2 linked regions of the Elephas maximus indicus genome follow. The main gene of each other region encodes a partner of the protein of the gene in region 2 in a complex. Links are inferred from orthologs where the notes say so. Each region holds a gene or a part of one and is shown on either strand. Other genes may lie near its edges.

What was found. The genes of interacting proteins can lie anywhere in the genome.
Region 1: the proteins of CCNA2 (region 2) and CDKN1B are in contact, whole or in part, in a crystal structure (PDB 1JSU), measured with the Homo sapiens proteins. The link is inferred for Elephas maximus indicus from reciprocal best matches to the Homo sapiens genes CCNA2 and CDKN1B. Residues at the interface, in NP_001228.2 of Homo sapiens: Met210, Ile213, Leu214, Asp216, Trp217, Glu220, Val221, Glu224, Met246, Arg250, Gly251, Lys252, Leu253, Gln254, Leu255, Tyr280, Ile281, Thr282, Asp283, Thr285, Tyr286, Thr287, Gln290, Arg293, Met294, His296, Leu297, Lys300; in NP_004055.1 of Homo sapiens: Lys25, Pro26, Ser27, Ala28, Cys29, Arg30, Asn31, Leu32, Phe33, Gly34, Val36, His38, Leu41, Thr42, Asp44, Leu45, Glu46, His48, Cys49, Asp51.

What each region holds. Positions count from the first base shown.
Region 1 is NC_064822.1:71,307,794-71,314,710, forward strand, and holds the start of CDKN1B (cyclin-dependent kinase inhibitor 1B), read left to right. Parts: upstream 1-3,895; 5' UTR 3,896-4,192; coding exon 4,193-4,667; intron 4,668-5,185; coding exon 5,186-5,307; 3' UTR 5,308-5,315; intron 5,316-6,917. UniProt on the Homo sapiens protein: Important regulator of cell cycle progression. Inhibits the kinase activity of CDK2 bound to cyclin A, but has little inhibitory activity on CDK2 bound to SPDYA. Involved in G1 arrest. Potent inhibitor of cyclin E- and cyclin A-CDK2 complexes.
Region 2 is NC_064823.1:25,383,323-25,390,737, reverse strand, and holds the start of CCNA2 (cyclin-A2), read right to left. Parts: upstream 3,018-7,415; coding exon 2,805-3,017; intron 2,130-2,804; coding exon 1,886-2,129; intron 590-1,885; coding exon 477-589; intron 339-476; coding exon 115-338; intron 1-114. Other genes in the region: BBS7 (Bardet-Biedl syndrome 7 protein), read right to left, coding at 6,017-6,150. UniProt on the Homo sapiens protein: Cyclin which controls both the G1/S and the G2/M transition phases of the cell cycle. Functions through the formation of specific serine/threonine protein kinase holoenzyme complexes with the cyclin-dependent protein kinases CDK1 or CDK2.

The sequences.
Region 1 (6,917 bases), on a different chromosome or scaffold from region 2:
CCCTTTCCCTTGATCAGTGTTTCTCCACAGGACTCGTCACTTTCTTCCTAGTGCATATTTTACTCATTTGTTGCATTTATTTTCTGTCTCCTCTCTCCTCACTAGGACATAAGCTACATTCTAGTTTTTATTTGTTCACTTCTGTATCCCCAGAGCCTAGGATAATGCCTGGCTGGGTAGGCATTCAAAAAATATTTGTTGAAAGAAAGAACGAACAAATTAATAAAAAGTTTTCCATAAATATTTGTTAAATTGATTTAAAAGATTTAAGATACAGATGACTGTGAAATTTCCAAATTCTTTACAAATATGGCAAAAAAAAAAAAAAAGACAGGGAATGGTGATATTGAGTGAAAGCTACCTCATTATAAACATCCTTGAGGAAGGATTAAAATTATGTATTTATGGTGGAAGGGGCAACCGGGCAAGGAAACATGCACCATCAGAGAAATATTTGGGGCTACGTAATTTCCTCGTGAGAGGGCTCCATCTGGGAGCAGGGCTAACACAGCCCCACCACCTCATTTTGACACTTGTCTACTCACAGGTGTTTTAAGTTATTTTGGTCTTTGCCTCACTCCTCAGAACATGAAAGACAGACATCTGGCCTTGGCTATGTGAGACTTCTCAGCTCTAACTAGGAAACCACCAGAAGTGAAAACAACAACAAAAACACCACACACGACTAGATCCTGGGTCTTGGGGAAGCAGAGCCCATTTCTGAGCAGTGTGAGTGGAACTCTTTTTTACTCAGGCTCCGCCTTTGCACTGTTTATCTGAAAAATTTCTCCCTGGCTTACTCTTCTGCAGCCACCTACTTTCCACAGGAGCATGGCGCTCTGATCTCCACGTTCTCTCTTCCCTCGGGGACTCCATAGTATTTTTTTCACGCTTCGCTGATACTACAGCAGACGCCTGCCTTCTCATTATTTGCTGTACAGATCTCCGGTGCCTTGACTGTAAACAAAACACTTTAGATCATAGCAAGGTCATGTAAGCACAGCCCTTCTGCTGGCAGCCAGACTTCTTAAGGTGGCTTCACCGTGGCTCGTTTATTTCTCAAGAGTAACAAAGCAACAAAATGGTGCTCCCACATAGTAACTGAAGATTCAGTGTGTAGGGGATAGAAGTATTCATTTTCTACTTTTATACAAAATGTTAATCCCATTATAAAATTAAACTTCTGTGACAAGCTAGTACTCTAGAATTTCTCCATTCATGTATGTAGTAGTTTGTAGTTATTATTCACATATACGCATACATAATATAAAATTCCTCTGTAGTCTAGCAGAGATTTAAGAATTTGGGCAAAAACACCTTATTTCAGGGCTAGGATATAAATTAAGGTCGTGAAATCTATCTTAACTTTCCTGCCCCCCTTCCTAACCTAACAACTTAGTGGGGCATTAAACGTAGACAATTAAAGAGGATGAGACCTCCTGCTTTGATCCTAGGTGAACTCTTTTCTGTCAGCCAGGTAGCAAGCCCTGACTTTGAAACCATTCTGTACACTGTATTCCCTCACTGCTCCCTGGGTGCCACCTCTGTCCTTTTGGAATCTGCGTTTAGTTGAACTAGTTGATAGTGATATTAAAGGCCAGTAATGGCAACATTTAAATATCAGTGACCACAGACCACGTCAAGGAAACATCTGCAAGCAGTCCCGGGCCTGGGAAGGAGCCGTTTTGAACCACGAGTAGGAAAGGAAGGCCTGTAGCACAAGCTAATCCAGACAAAAACTTGAACCAGTTGGAACCATCAGGAAGGAAAACCCACTGCCACCGAGTCTATTCTGACTCAGCAACCATATAGGACAGAGTAGAACTGCCCCATAGAGTTTCCAAGGAGTGCCTGGTAGATTTGAACTACTAACCTTTTGGTTAGCAGCCATAGCTCTTAACCACTACACCACCAGGGTTTCCATCAGGAAGGAAAGGAACAGAAAACGAATCAGATTGTGAGATAGGAGACCTGTGTCTAGTCCTGGCTCTGCTACCAACTGAATGTGTGTCCCTGGACAGGAAACTTTTCTGAGCCTCAATTTTCTCAGTGGTAAAACGAGAAGGTTGAACCACAGGGTCCCCAGGGACCCTCCCCACACTAACATTCCAGAGTGTATACAGAGGACAAATAAGACGTGGTTGTGAAAGCAAGTTAAAAATCAAACTCATCGATAGCATAGGTGCATGAGAACACATTGCTGCTGTGCAATGTTGGAACCAAACCAAAAACCCACTGCTGTGGAGTGATTCCGATTCATAGCGGCCCTGTGTTAGAAATGGAGGTTAATTTCCAGTAAAATTTATTTACTTTGGTCCAAGGAAGATTATGTGTATTGGGAGTGGGACTGGGAAGGCAGTTAAAGACCCACTGAGCTATGACAACCCTGCCCACCCAGTTTTAACTTCCACCACCGAGCTGAAGACCAAACTGACTGATATGTTTCAATTTGCAGAGCGGAGAGGAGAAATGACCTAATCACGTCAGGCATGAGGACATGGTTGTGGTGGTTTTATAAATCATTTCATAACATAGACTTTGATTCTTAGGGGAAATATTTTCACCTTTCAACAGCTTGCAGTCCTCTGAAAGCAGCCAGTTGCATCTGAACGTAGTTTGGGTGTGTTGGAGCAGGAAGCCGGTGGGAGAGAAAGGTGGAGGAAGGAAGGAGCTGTTGCCTTTGGCGACTGGACTCAGGTAGAGGAAACTACTACAACCCGTGAAAGAATTGAAAAGTATAAAGAGAAGGAGGCGAGTTCCCACACGCAGTCAATGTCAGTGGCCTTAAGTGTACTGGGGAAGCAAGAACCTGGGCCAAGGGTGTAACCTCGGTTTTCAAAACTAAATGTATCTGAAACGGCTACAAAGTTTAAGGGACTTGGGCAAGCAGTCGAGCTTTTGATCTTTAGATTCTTTTCCAATGCGTGAGAGCTTGGGTTCAGAACACAGTATGAAGGCTGCGCCTGGCTACCTTATAGAAAGACATTAGCCCTGGCTTTTCCCCTTAACTTCTGGGTTAAGCCTGAGCTAACCGTTGCCCACCCCCTGTGGCACTCTGACATGGAGGCAGGGATGGGGTGCGCGGGGAGGGGGGTGGTCCTGGCCCTCGGCAAAGGTTTCCTGACCTCCTCCGCAGAGCACGAGGTGGGGGCCACTGCCTCGAGCCCAGAAGAAGCCTCAGCTCGCACCATCTGCCTCCGCCCTCCACTCCCCCGCGCCTCCGGCTCGGCGAGTGCAGGGAAAACAAGATCGCCACCGAGGCTCAAAACGTTGAGAGGAGAGCAACATTACAGATCATCTGGTCCAGCCCCTTCGTTTCACCGGCCAGGAGCTGGAGGTCTGGGCTAACGAGCGGGCGGGCCAGCCAGCGCAGCGCGGGGACCAGTACCCATGGCCCCGCCTGCCCCGCCGCAGAGGCCCCTCCCCAGCTTCCCGGCCGTTTGGCTAGTTTGTTTGTCTTATTTTTAATTTCTCCGAGGCCAGCCAGAGCAGGTTTGCTGGCAGCAGTACACCTCCAGCAATCACGGGACCAGCCAATCTCCTCCTTGCGCTCTCGGAGTCGGCGCGCTCTGGAAGGCGGAGAGGCGGCGGAACCGCGCCGGGGCCACCTTAAGGCCGCGCTCGCCAGCCTCAGCTGGGCGGCTCCCGGCGCCGCAACCAATGGATCTCCTCCTCTGTTTAAATAGACTTGCGGTGTCAATCATTTTCTTCTTCGTCAGCCTCCCTTCCACCGCCATATTGGGCAACTAAAAAAAGGGGGCTCGCCTTTTCAGGGTGTTTTTCTCCCTTTCCCTTCTCCCCACTTTCTCTCCGCTCCGCGACTCTGACGCCGGCAAGGTTTGGAGAGCGGCTGGGTTCGCGGGACCCGCGGGCTAGCGGCAGCCGGGACTTGGCCTGGCCTTTCCGCCCCCTCCTCCTTCCTCCTCCCCTCCCCTCCCCGCCCTCCCGCTCGCCGGTACACTTGATCTGCGGAGACTTTCGGCTGCCTCTCCGGGGCTTCCCCTTACTCCCTCCCCCAGATCCAGCGCGCTCCTGAAGCTCGGGCACTTACTTGTTGGTGTTTGTTTCTCTTGGCTCCGAGGGCAGTCGCAGAGCTTCTAAAAGGGGGTTGGGTTGGGTCGGGGCGTTTTGTTTTGTTCGGTTTTGTTTTTTGAGAGAGCCAGAGAGGCGGTAGTAAAGACTCGAGAGGAAGATGTCAAACGTGCGAGTGTCTAACGGGAGCCCGAGCCTGGAGCGGATGGACGCCAGACAGGCGGAGTACCCTAAGCCCTCCGCCTGCAGAAACCTCTTCGGCCCGGTGAATCACGAAGAGTTAACTCGGGACTTGGAGAAGCACTGCAGAGACATGGAAGAGGCTAGCCAGCGCAAGTGGAATTTTGATTTTCAGAATCACAAGCCCCTGGAGGGGAAATACGAGTGGCAAGAGATGGAAAAGGGCAGCTTGCCCGAGTTTTACTACAGACCCCCGCGGCCCCCCAAAGGCGCATGCAAGGTACCGGCGCAAGAGAGCCAGGATGTCAACGGGAGCCGTCAGGCGGTGCCTTTAATAGGGTCTCAGGCAAACTCAGAGGACACACATTTGGTAGACCAAAAGACTGAAACATCAGACAGCCAGACGGGGTTAGCGGAGCAGTGCCCTGGGATACGGAAGAGACCTGCAACAGACGGTAATGACCTTTTCAAACGTATATGCCTGTCTGGGGCAGCGCTTTGCTTGCTTGAGGGTCTTAAATTTAGCTCTTTGTACCGTATTCTGATCTAGATTTTGGGAGCGAACTTTATTAATCCTGGGCTGTGAATGCTACCTGCTGACTGCTTGTTTGTTTACGCTTTTTAAACCAGAATCCAGCGATGGGGTAATATCTGATATTTTCACTAACTTAAAACATCGCAGTTCCTTTTCCAGCCTTAGTTATGTGACAATGTTGAGATGTTTATCAACGGCCTTCCTCTACCCTGTGGAGAGAGCGATTTGGGGCGTAGAATACACTTTTTGTTACGTGAAAACAATCTGATTTTGTGCACTTAAAGGGCACTGTGATGAAGGATCCAGGATTGTGGGTGGAGGTAGTGGGTTTTTCATTCCCTGACTATGGGGTCAACTTGTCTGAGCCATTGTTTTTTCTAATAAAGATTGTGTGTGTGCTTTTTTTTTTTTTTTTTTGGAATTTCCCCTTGTCCTTAGATTCTTCTACTCAAAACAAAAGAGCCAACAGAACAGAAGAAAATGTTTCAGAAGGGTCCCCAAACGCAGGCTCAGTGGAGCAGACGCCCAAGAAGCCGAGCCTCAGAAGACGTCAAACATAAACCGCTTGGTGGGTTGATTACTAAGAGCAAACAACTGACACCCGAATGGGGCTGCAGGAACCCTGTGGGTCAGAAAACCCCAAGATACCTGATCTTCCTGGTTGCTGGCAGATAAGGAGCTCGTGGGTGTTTGTTTTTATTTTGTGAGGTCAAAAAAGTAGGAATGGGGAAACGTGGGGAATCACTGTGGGAATACTGTAATTCTTCAAAATCTACGTCCTGAGATAATTTTCCCTTAACACACTATACAGCTAGAACAAGTGTGCTAGGCAAGTACTTGTAGCCAAGACCCCATGAGTAGGAAGGTTATTTCCTTGTGAGTCCCACCAAAACATGCTGGGAACAATAGGTTCTTTCCTCATCTGAGTGAGAACTGGGGTAAGCCTCAGTCCCACTTCATGAGGACTCATTTCCCAGAGGTTCAGGTTGAGTCACTAACAGATTTTGAGGCCATACATTCAATGATTGGCTTTCAAATTTGAGGGGGGAAGTTAGGTACAAAAAGCTCACATTTGGTTAATCAAGTGATTAGAAATGTGAATAGGGTGGAATGTTGTGTTCTTTTCTTTTTACTGTTTTCATAGACTATCACTTATCATTATCTGGTTTCTGATAAATTTGGGGGAGAGAAGGAGCCTGCATATTTTTAAAAAAAAATCCCTAGTGAAAGCTCAAAAATACTAAAGTTCCTGTAGAATTCTGGTAACACCAAAGTTGCAAAGCAGAAGTTAAATGAACTCTGCCAGGGTAAGCAATCCAGGAACACGTCAGCATGTGTATGCTAATCATGCTATAACAGGACAATGTAGATATTTGTAGGGGAAATGGGTAGTACAGATCAGGGCTTGCCAAGGGTAGGTCTACCAGGCACAAGAGAAGTGGAGATTTTTCCATTTACTAAAATTTGATCACCATGTATAGCTAATTTGAATACTTTAGCACTCAAGTGGATTGGCTGTGCCTGATAATCAAACTGCATGTATTCTAGTAGTTTACAGGCTTCTTAAAAACGAGGACTGTTAACCCTTTTTTTTTTCCTCCAAAAAGCACACTTAAAGCCTAGCATTTAAAAAGATCATAGTAGATGTTGATATTAACTTTTTAAATCCTAGTTTATAAAATTTTTAAAATAAATTCCCACAAGGATTAAAGCGGGGTTCAGGTTTGTTGTGTTTTTAAAACATTATAATGTCATATGTATGACTTTTCCACACATGTATATATTTTTAGAGCTTATACAAAATGGCACTATAAAATCTCTCTATTATATACAGTTCTGTATGAAGTAGGAAAATTTTTCTTGAAGCAACCTTAACACATACAGCTCTTTTTGGTTTGTGACTTGTGGCTTTGCTCATTACATGAGCCGCTGTGAATCAGAACTACTGAATTCTGACCACATTCTGACATGCAGAGAGACATTCGTTAGTAAATGTTGCCAATTTAAAGAATCCTAGGAGTAGTAGTAAGGTCTGTTCAAAAGCATGTATGTGTATATTCTGTCTGTAAATAAGAGAATATTTATTTGTTCCTGAGTTTTTAAAAAAGATACTGATTGAATTTTCATTTGAAGGGCCTTTATAAATTATATTTAGTTTTTCAAATTTAGA
Region 2 (7,415 bases):
CTGACTTTCTGACTCGTGTAGTATGTCAGAATGCCACACTGTTAAAAATCACATTTTTTCCCTACGCAGAGAGGTAGCCATCACTTTTATTCCAAAAAACCAAAATGGACTTACGAGGCTAGGAGCATAGCAGCAGTGCCCACAAGCTGAAGTTTTCCTCTCAATACGGACATCGATGAAAGGAACCTATCAATGTAGTTCACAGCCAAATACAGGGTCTCATTCTGTAGTTTATATTCTTCTCCTACTTCAACTAACCAGTCCACAAGGATAGCCCTCATACTGTTAGTGATGTCTGGTTGTTTCTTCATATAACCCACTTTAGGCTTACATTTAACCTGTTGAGAAAAGTTAGTATACTGTTAAATATACCTTACAGTAGTTCACTAGCAGTTAAAACACTAATTAACCTCTCCATTTCATTTAGCCACATGCAGTGATTAACAGTATACGACTGCACTCAAGAGAGCTTTTACCTCCATCTCCCTAAGGTATGTGTGAATGTCTTCATGATAGTCTGGTACTTCGTTAACATTCACTGGTTTTTCATCTTCTAATACAACTGATATGTCCATAGTATGTGGTGACTCTGGAGGAATTCAAAAGATATGATTAATTGTTTAATCTTCTATTTAATAGCTAAAAGTGACTGCCCTTGTCAAGAATGCTATGTTACCAAAACATTTCATCCAAGTAAAAGGGCTTCTCATGACAAAAGTACATGGATTTGCCAAAAGAGATTGCTAACCTGAATCTGATATATTCAAAGTACGATAAGGTAATAACTAGAAGCAAGACTAAATGGCGTTCATTAACAAGTGTGTTAATAAGGAAATTAGGATTGTTATGGGTACTTCAAACAGGTGGATTAACATGACAATCAACAAATGATTGATTTTTTTTGTAATTCAAATTATCTTTTGAGGCAAAGAATATCATCCATTACTCTTTTCAACTTCAAGGATCATTCTGAGGTAAGAAATTGTTACAAATCTTAAATAAAAATACACAGATTATTTCCAAAGGACTTCCCACTCCCTTCCCTAATCAATAGAACCACAACTAAAATGAGATTATATTCAATGACCTATCCAGTAACTCAATAACCCTGCAGAAAAGAAACACTACAAACTGTAGACAGAGCTGTCTGATGAAGCTACTCCATTTTGTATGTGGGTAAGTGCAAACAGGCATGGTACAACTACTGACACACAAGAAGACAATGTGCCTTTCTGGTATCTGATGATTACTCAGACTGGTGTTACAGCAACACAAAATTTCAGAGCTGGAAAAGATGTCAGACAACACAGTATTTAAGACTGCACTCTCACACAGCACTCTCTCAAGTGGTACGTATGAATCGAGTCACTGCCCTGGTGGCGTAGTAGTTAAGTACTACAGCTGCTAACCAAGAGGTAGGCAGTTTGAATCCACCATGCCTTCCTTGGAAGCTCCATGGGAGGCAATCCACTCCTTGGAAACTCTATGGGACAGTTCTTCTCTGTCCTATAGGGTCGCTAAGAGTCAGAAATCGACTTGACGGCAGTGGGTTTGGTTTTTTTTTTTTTTGGTTTCTTATGACTGCAACTGAAATCTATTCTCCCAACCAAGCAAACATTTCCAGGGTCAGACTATGTGACTGAAATGTAATTAAACTGATTGGTAGCGTACTGGAAGGAACACCTGATTAGGACTTGGGTCCTTTTGTAGGTCACTAGGTCATGTATTTGGTGTGATATTTGGGACAAGTCACACCATTTCTAAGCCTGTTACATTAAAGCTAACTATGTAGTAATGATCAGGTAAGATAATGTTTTAAAATATAAAATCTAGTCTATTTAATAATTATACTACCTTGATTCATACAGATCTCTTTAAAACTTACCGAAACTACCATCCATTGGATAATCGAGAGACCCCAGCGGTTTTCTTGTTCCAGGTAAAGTAACAGCTGAGTTAAAAGCCAGGGCATCTTCACACGCCGATTTTTTAGATTCAGCTGGTCTCTTCTGAGTCTTTTCTTCTTCTTCATCCACATGAATGGTGAATGCAGGCTGTTTACTGTTTGCCTTCCATGGAGCAACAGTGACACGCTCATCATTTACAGGAATATCCTTAAGAGGTGCAACCTAGAAAGAAAGAACTGTCTTTGAGCCTGTTAAATGGAGCTTTGCCTTTTTCCCCTTAAGGATCTCAGCTTGTGCTTTCACTCTCAAATATCTACCAGGAAAATTAAACTAGGGAAAAGTCCAGGCAAGAATAGTTTGAGTAGTCAAAGAGAGAAGGGATGTAAAAATTTGTCACAGGCAGAGTTGACACTAGGGTGGAGCAAACAGCAAATCCGGCTAAAATGGCGGGATTTACCAAAAGTATTTTCTTGTACCCTTTTCTAAAGTAGAAGCATTCTCTTAACCAGATGGGGAGGGGAAGGAGAGACCTGGTTGCTTCGCCCCGGAGCAGAGTAATGCCTGGGGTTAAAAGACAAGCGAAAGCATGAGCTGGGCAATGACGACATTCGCGTTGTAGGGCTTGGTCTGACCCCAAAATCTACAAAGATGACCCCAATAGATAGGAGATAAGTAGCACATGCAGTGTTGGCGGGGGTCATATGCTAAAATGAATGAGAGAATCTACCACCGTGGCATCCCACAAAGCGGAAAATCTGTGACCAAGGGGACTCCAGACTCGCGCCCTCCTAAAATACCCAAAGAATGCTTACTCGTCACCCTCTTCTGCCTGCTAAGCCCATGCTCGACCCTCGCCTGGCCCACCCTCCGACAGATACCTCGCGTGTCCTTCCTTACCCGTCGCGTCTTGGGTCTCTGCTGCGGCGCTGGACCCCGTGGGTTCCCCGCCTTGAGTACCGCCAGCCCGGCTCGAGTCCGGGGCTGCTGGGCGGGCTCCGCTTTTTCGGGGTCGATGTTCTCCTGGTCCTCTCGGAGGGCCGTCTGCTGTAGTGTTAGCAGCGCCGAGCCCGCCTCGTGGGCCGCAGGCCCTGGTGCAGAGTTGCCCAACATCACTGCTCCCCGGGGCAGGCGGCGGGATCAGCCTCCGGCGCCAAGCAGCGTGCACTCCGCCCCGCTGACCCGCGCGCAGACTCAGCCGAGGAATGCTGTAGCTGCCGCCGCTCGCCGCAGTCGGGGCCAGCCTGCCCACCTGCCCGCTCACCTGGCAGGGGCTGTGCGGGGCGGAGGAGGCTGCGAAAGGAGCAGGCAGGCACTGTCGGGCGTGGAGTACCAAGGACCTAGAACGCCCCGAGATAAAGCGAACAGCCCGCCGGAGCGGCGGCTGTTCATGCAGTTCAAGTATCCCGCGACTATTGAAATGGACCAATGAGAGCCGCAGAGGCCCGTGACGTCACTAGGGCGACAAAGTCGCAGTCAGCGCAGGCGGCAGTGATGGCAACTGAGCAGGGGTGGAGCGGAGAAACGTCGAACCGCCGCGGGAGGAAAAACGCCTGCGCGGTGAAGGCGGGAGCGGGGGAGACCTGAGTTTCTGATGACTTTAAACCGCACCACTGGGAGGTCTCTGTGCGCAAGGCTAAAGGCTGTCTATATGCATTCTAAAATTAACTGAGTTAAACTGTAGCAATTACTAGGGGGCCGTCCCAGCCTTTAGCCCTGGGACCTCCAGTTAACGTGGCTGACTTGTTTCCCGAGGTTCAAGATTTGACTTGGCCACTTACTGGCCAGGTAATCTTGGTCAAATTATTAAATGTCTCCAGTCTCAGTTTTCTTATGTGTTTATTGGAAGTAATACCTACACGGCATAGGACTGTCGTTAGGATTAAATGAAATACTGTGCATAAATTATGTAACACTGTGCACATAGTAATACTCAAGTGGCAGGATATAATGTCATGTTAGGACGCGGTGTTTATTCACAGTAGGCAGAACTGTGTCTTATGCTTTTTATTTTTTCCAAGAAAATACAATTTACTGTGCCGTCTTGAACTACTGATACATATAACAAGTAATAATGTACTACAAGAAATTCGACTGGACAGTCATTAATGCTTATACACTTTTCCCCAACCAGTAGCCTTTTATATAGAAGCAGCCAACAAAAAAACAATGAAATTCTAGTGACCTGGATGTTCCATTTAGAAATGAAAACTGTTTAATAAAAACAATGGCCTTACTAAAACAAAACTGTCTTAGCTATAATATGTGCCTTTAACAAATTCTCATATTTAATATACAAGACTTCCACATAACTAATAAATATAATGGTATGTAATTCAGAAGCATTGTTTTCTGACAAATTCATGAGTCTACACTTCTTGAAAACAGAAAAATAGCCTTTTTACCATTATAATCTGTCCTTTTAAAGCAGACTGTTAAATAAAATAAAACCAAACTCATTGCCATCAATTCCAACTCATATTGACAATATTCCCCTGAAAATGAATAAATTTACATTAAGATTAATGAACAAAAAAACTGTGTTCTTAAAATATTTTCGTTTCATATAGGATAAAAAGGAAACTAGTGATACTAGTGCAGGAAAATCCAAGAAGCTATCACTATTTTTGCACTCCTCCTGTGTTGCAACTTGTATAGCTTGACTGCTCACAGCACTTGTAGTTAAGATCTCTCTCATCTGTGTAAGCTGCTCATTTCCCTGACCGAAATTTACAGCACTGAGACAACTAAGGCATTTTACAAGCTGCAGCATGGGTCACAAAATGTTACCGAACAAGACAGAAATCACTATAAAGCAATCTCAGCTCCTACAAAAAATAACTGGTAGTTTATTTCCGCTTGTTGACAACATACATTGTAATTGGGACACAAAGCAGGTGCCAGAAACTGGGTTCTGGTCCCAGCTTTACAAATTAATAGCATGTCCTCTTAACCTCATGTCACTTAACCTCACCAACAATTGGTTTTCTTACAAGCTTTGACAAACTTACAGGACTGATGCGAAGATGATATGAGGTAAGGTACGCAAATGCATTCTGAAAACTGTAAAGCAGTTTACACATAAATGTATGTGTGTGGGTGTGGGTGGGTGTGGGTGGGTGGGTGGGTGGGTGGCTAGTAAGGAAACCCTGGTGGTGTAGTGGTTAAGAGCTATGGCTGCTAACCAAAAGGTTGGCAGTTCGAATCCACCAGGTGCTCCTTGGAAACGTTATGGGGCAGTTCTACTCTGTCCTATAGGGTCGCTATGAGTCGGAATGGACTTGACGGCAATGAAAGTGGTTTTTGGTTTTGGTAGCTTGTAAAACATTTGAATATATTTTGATTTTCCAAATATTTCTCTATTTAAAAATCAAAACATCTAATTACTAAAAATGCATTAAAATCCCTTGTACTTACTCCACTTTTTTTTTTTTTTTAATACTTGAGTTTCAGTGAAAGTTTATACAGCAAGTTAGGTTCCCATTTTGATAATTTCCGCACAAATTGTTCAGTGACATTAGTTACATTTATCATAACGCTAATATTCTTTGTGTTCTGTTTGTTCTATTTCCAGTACTCTAGTTTCCCTGGCCCCTTATCTTCCCGTCTTAGTTTTGTGTAATTGTTGACCTTTTAATCTCATTCTGATGGTTTTTAAGTAGAGCAGCAATCTTATGTAATATCCTTTGTGTGCCACTCTGCTATTTCACTAAAGGGTGATCTCGGGATAGGCTCTGTTCTAGGTTTAAAGAGTGTCTCAGGGTGATAATCTCAGGGAGTCCTCTGCTCTCCACTGTTCCAGTTTGTCTGGCTTTTTTTAAAATAAGAATTTGAGTTCTGCTCCACATTTTTCTCCCATTCTAGCTGGGACCATCTATTGTGACCCTGATCAAAACGGTCATCCACTTGTTTTAAATATAAAAATTCTCTTTATTTTTAAAAAGTTCTACCATCAAAGCAAATAGAAGCATTATTTAAAGTCATATCTGAAATATTTTTAGATGTCATCAAAAAGCATTTGAAATAAAAGTATATACATTTAGTTTATAATTCTATGTTAGTATTTTCCTTTTAAACAGACCACTTCTTTGGGACTTTACCTTGATTATATTTCAAGCAGCATCAAAGAAAGCAATCAATGCATTTTGGTCATAACTGTCCAGAATCTCCAGAAGAAGAGGTACTTTGGTTTTCACATTGGTGCCTTTGAATTTGAACTTATCTATGAAAAGATCAGTGATCATGCCTAGAAAGAACAACGTGAATTTACTGTCATCAATTAGTTCCTTTTAATGAAACAATTTAATGAAAGTAAGTGCTTGAGAATCCATTTCTAAGTACCTGTAATTTCATTATTTAATATACACAAACCTTTTTAGAAGGTTCGATGCTTATAAAAATATATGTATTTTGGGGGAATTTTAAGGCCAGTTTCAGGACATAAATTAGCTAATTAGCTAATAAACATCTTTAACAACTGGTTAAAAGATATTAATTTCAGACAATCAAATGCTATTTCTGAACTGATACTAGTATATATAACATCATGAAAGTGGTTTATTTTTCCCACTAAGAAGACCATTTTGAAATAGTGTAGGCAGATTCTGTTCTTAATAGCTTTATCTAAATTAAGACATTCCATTTCTGTGTTGACTATTCTTGGGATTTGACTAGAAGGCAAATAAATAGTTTTAGGGTTCAAAGGTCTGGGCAAATTATTTCACCTTTGAGTTTCCTCACATGTGAAATGGTAATAATTCGAGCTGTCAATTATATATCCAAAACCCTTGATGCCAGATGTGTTTCAGAATTTTTCATATTTTAGGAAGATAACAGAAGACATATACCATATATAACAAAATACCCCCAAAGTATTATGAGCAAATGGCAGCATCTGGTAACAAAACATGATATTTCTACACCAAAATATATGGGTGAATAATCACACTAAGTGTGTTATAGATTGAATCGTGTCTACCCAAAATACCTGTTGTCATCCTAACCCTTTATGCCCGGTGGATGTAATCCTGTTTGAAAATAGGGTTCCTTGTATGTTAATGAAACCACATCAATGTAGAGTGTATCCTAAACCTAATCACAGCTGAGTTTTAAAAAGAGTAGATTAGACACAGATGTGTGCACATGGTGGGGGGGGGCGGTGGTAGGAAGCCAGACAGACACCAGTGAGGGCCACCTATAAGCCAAGACCAAGGAAGGCTAGGGATTACCTATAAGGAAGGAATCCCTATGGCTGAGGTCTTGATTTGGACTTTTAGCCTCCAGAACTAAAAGTTTAAATTTAAACTAAATTTAAATAAATATCTGTTCTTCAATGCTACCTGCTTGTGGTATTTCTGTTACAGCAATACTAAGTAAGACAGTGGAATAAATGAAGACTTTTATACTTAGCTTCATGTCAGTTTAAGTCAGGTTTTGTCATTAAATAAATTCAGATCATGTCAGATTTTGCTGTCAAATGGTTCATGAAAAAAGCTTTGTTTTTCAGGGCTT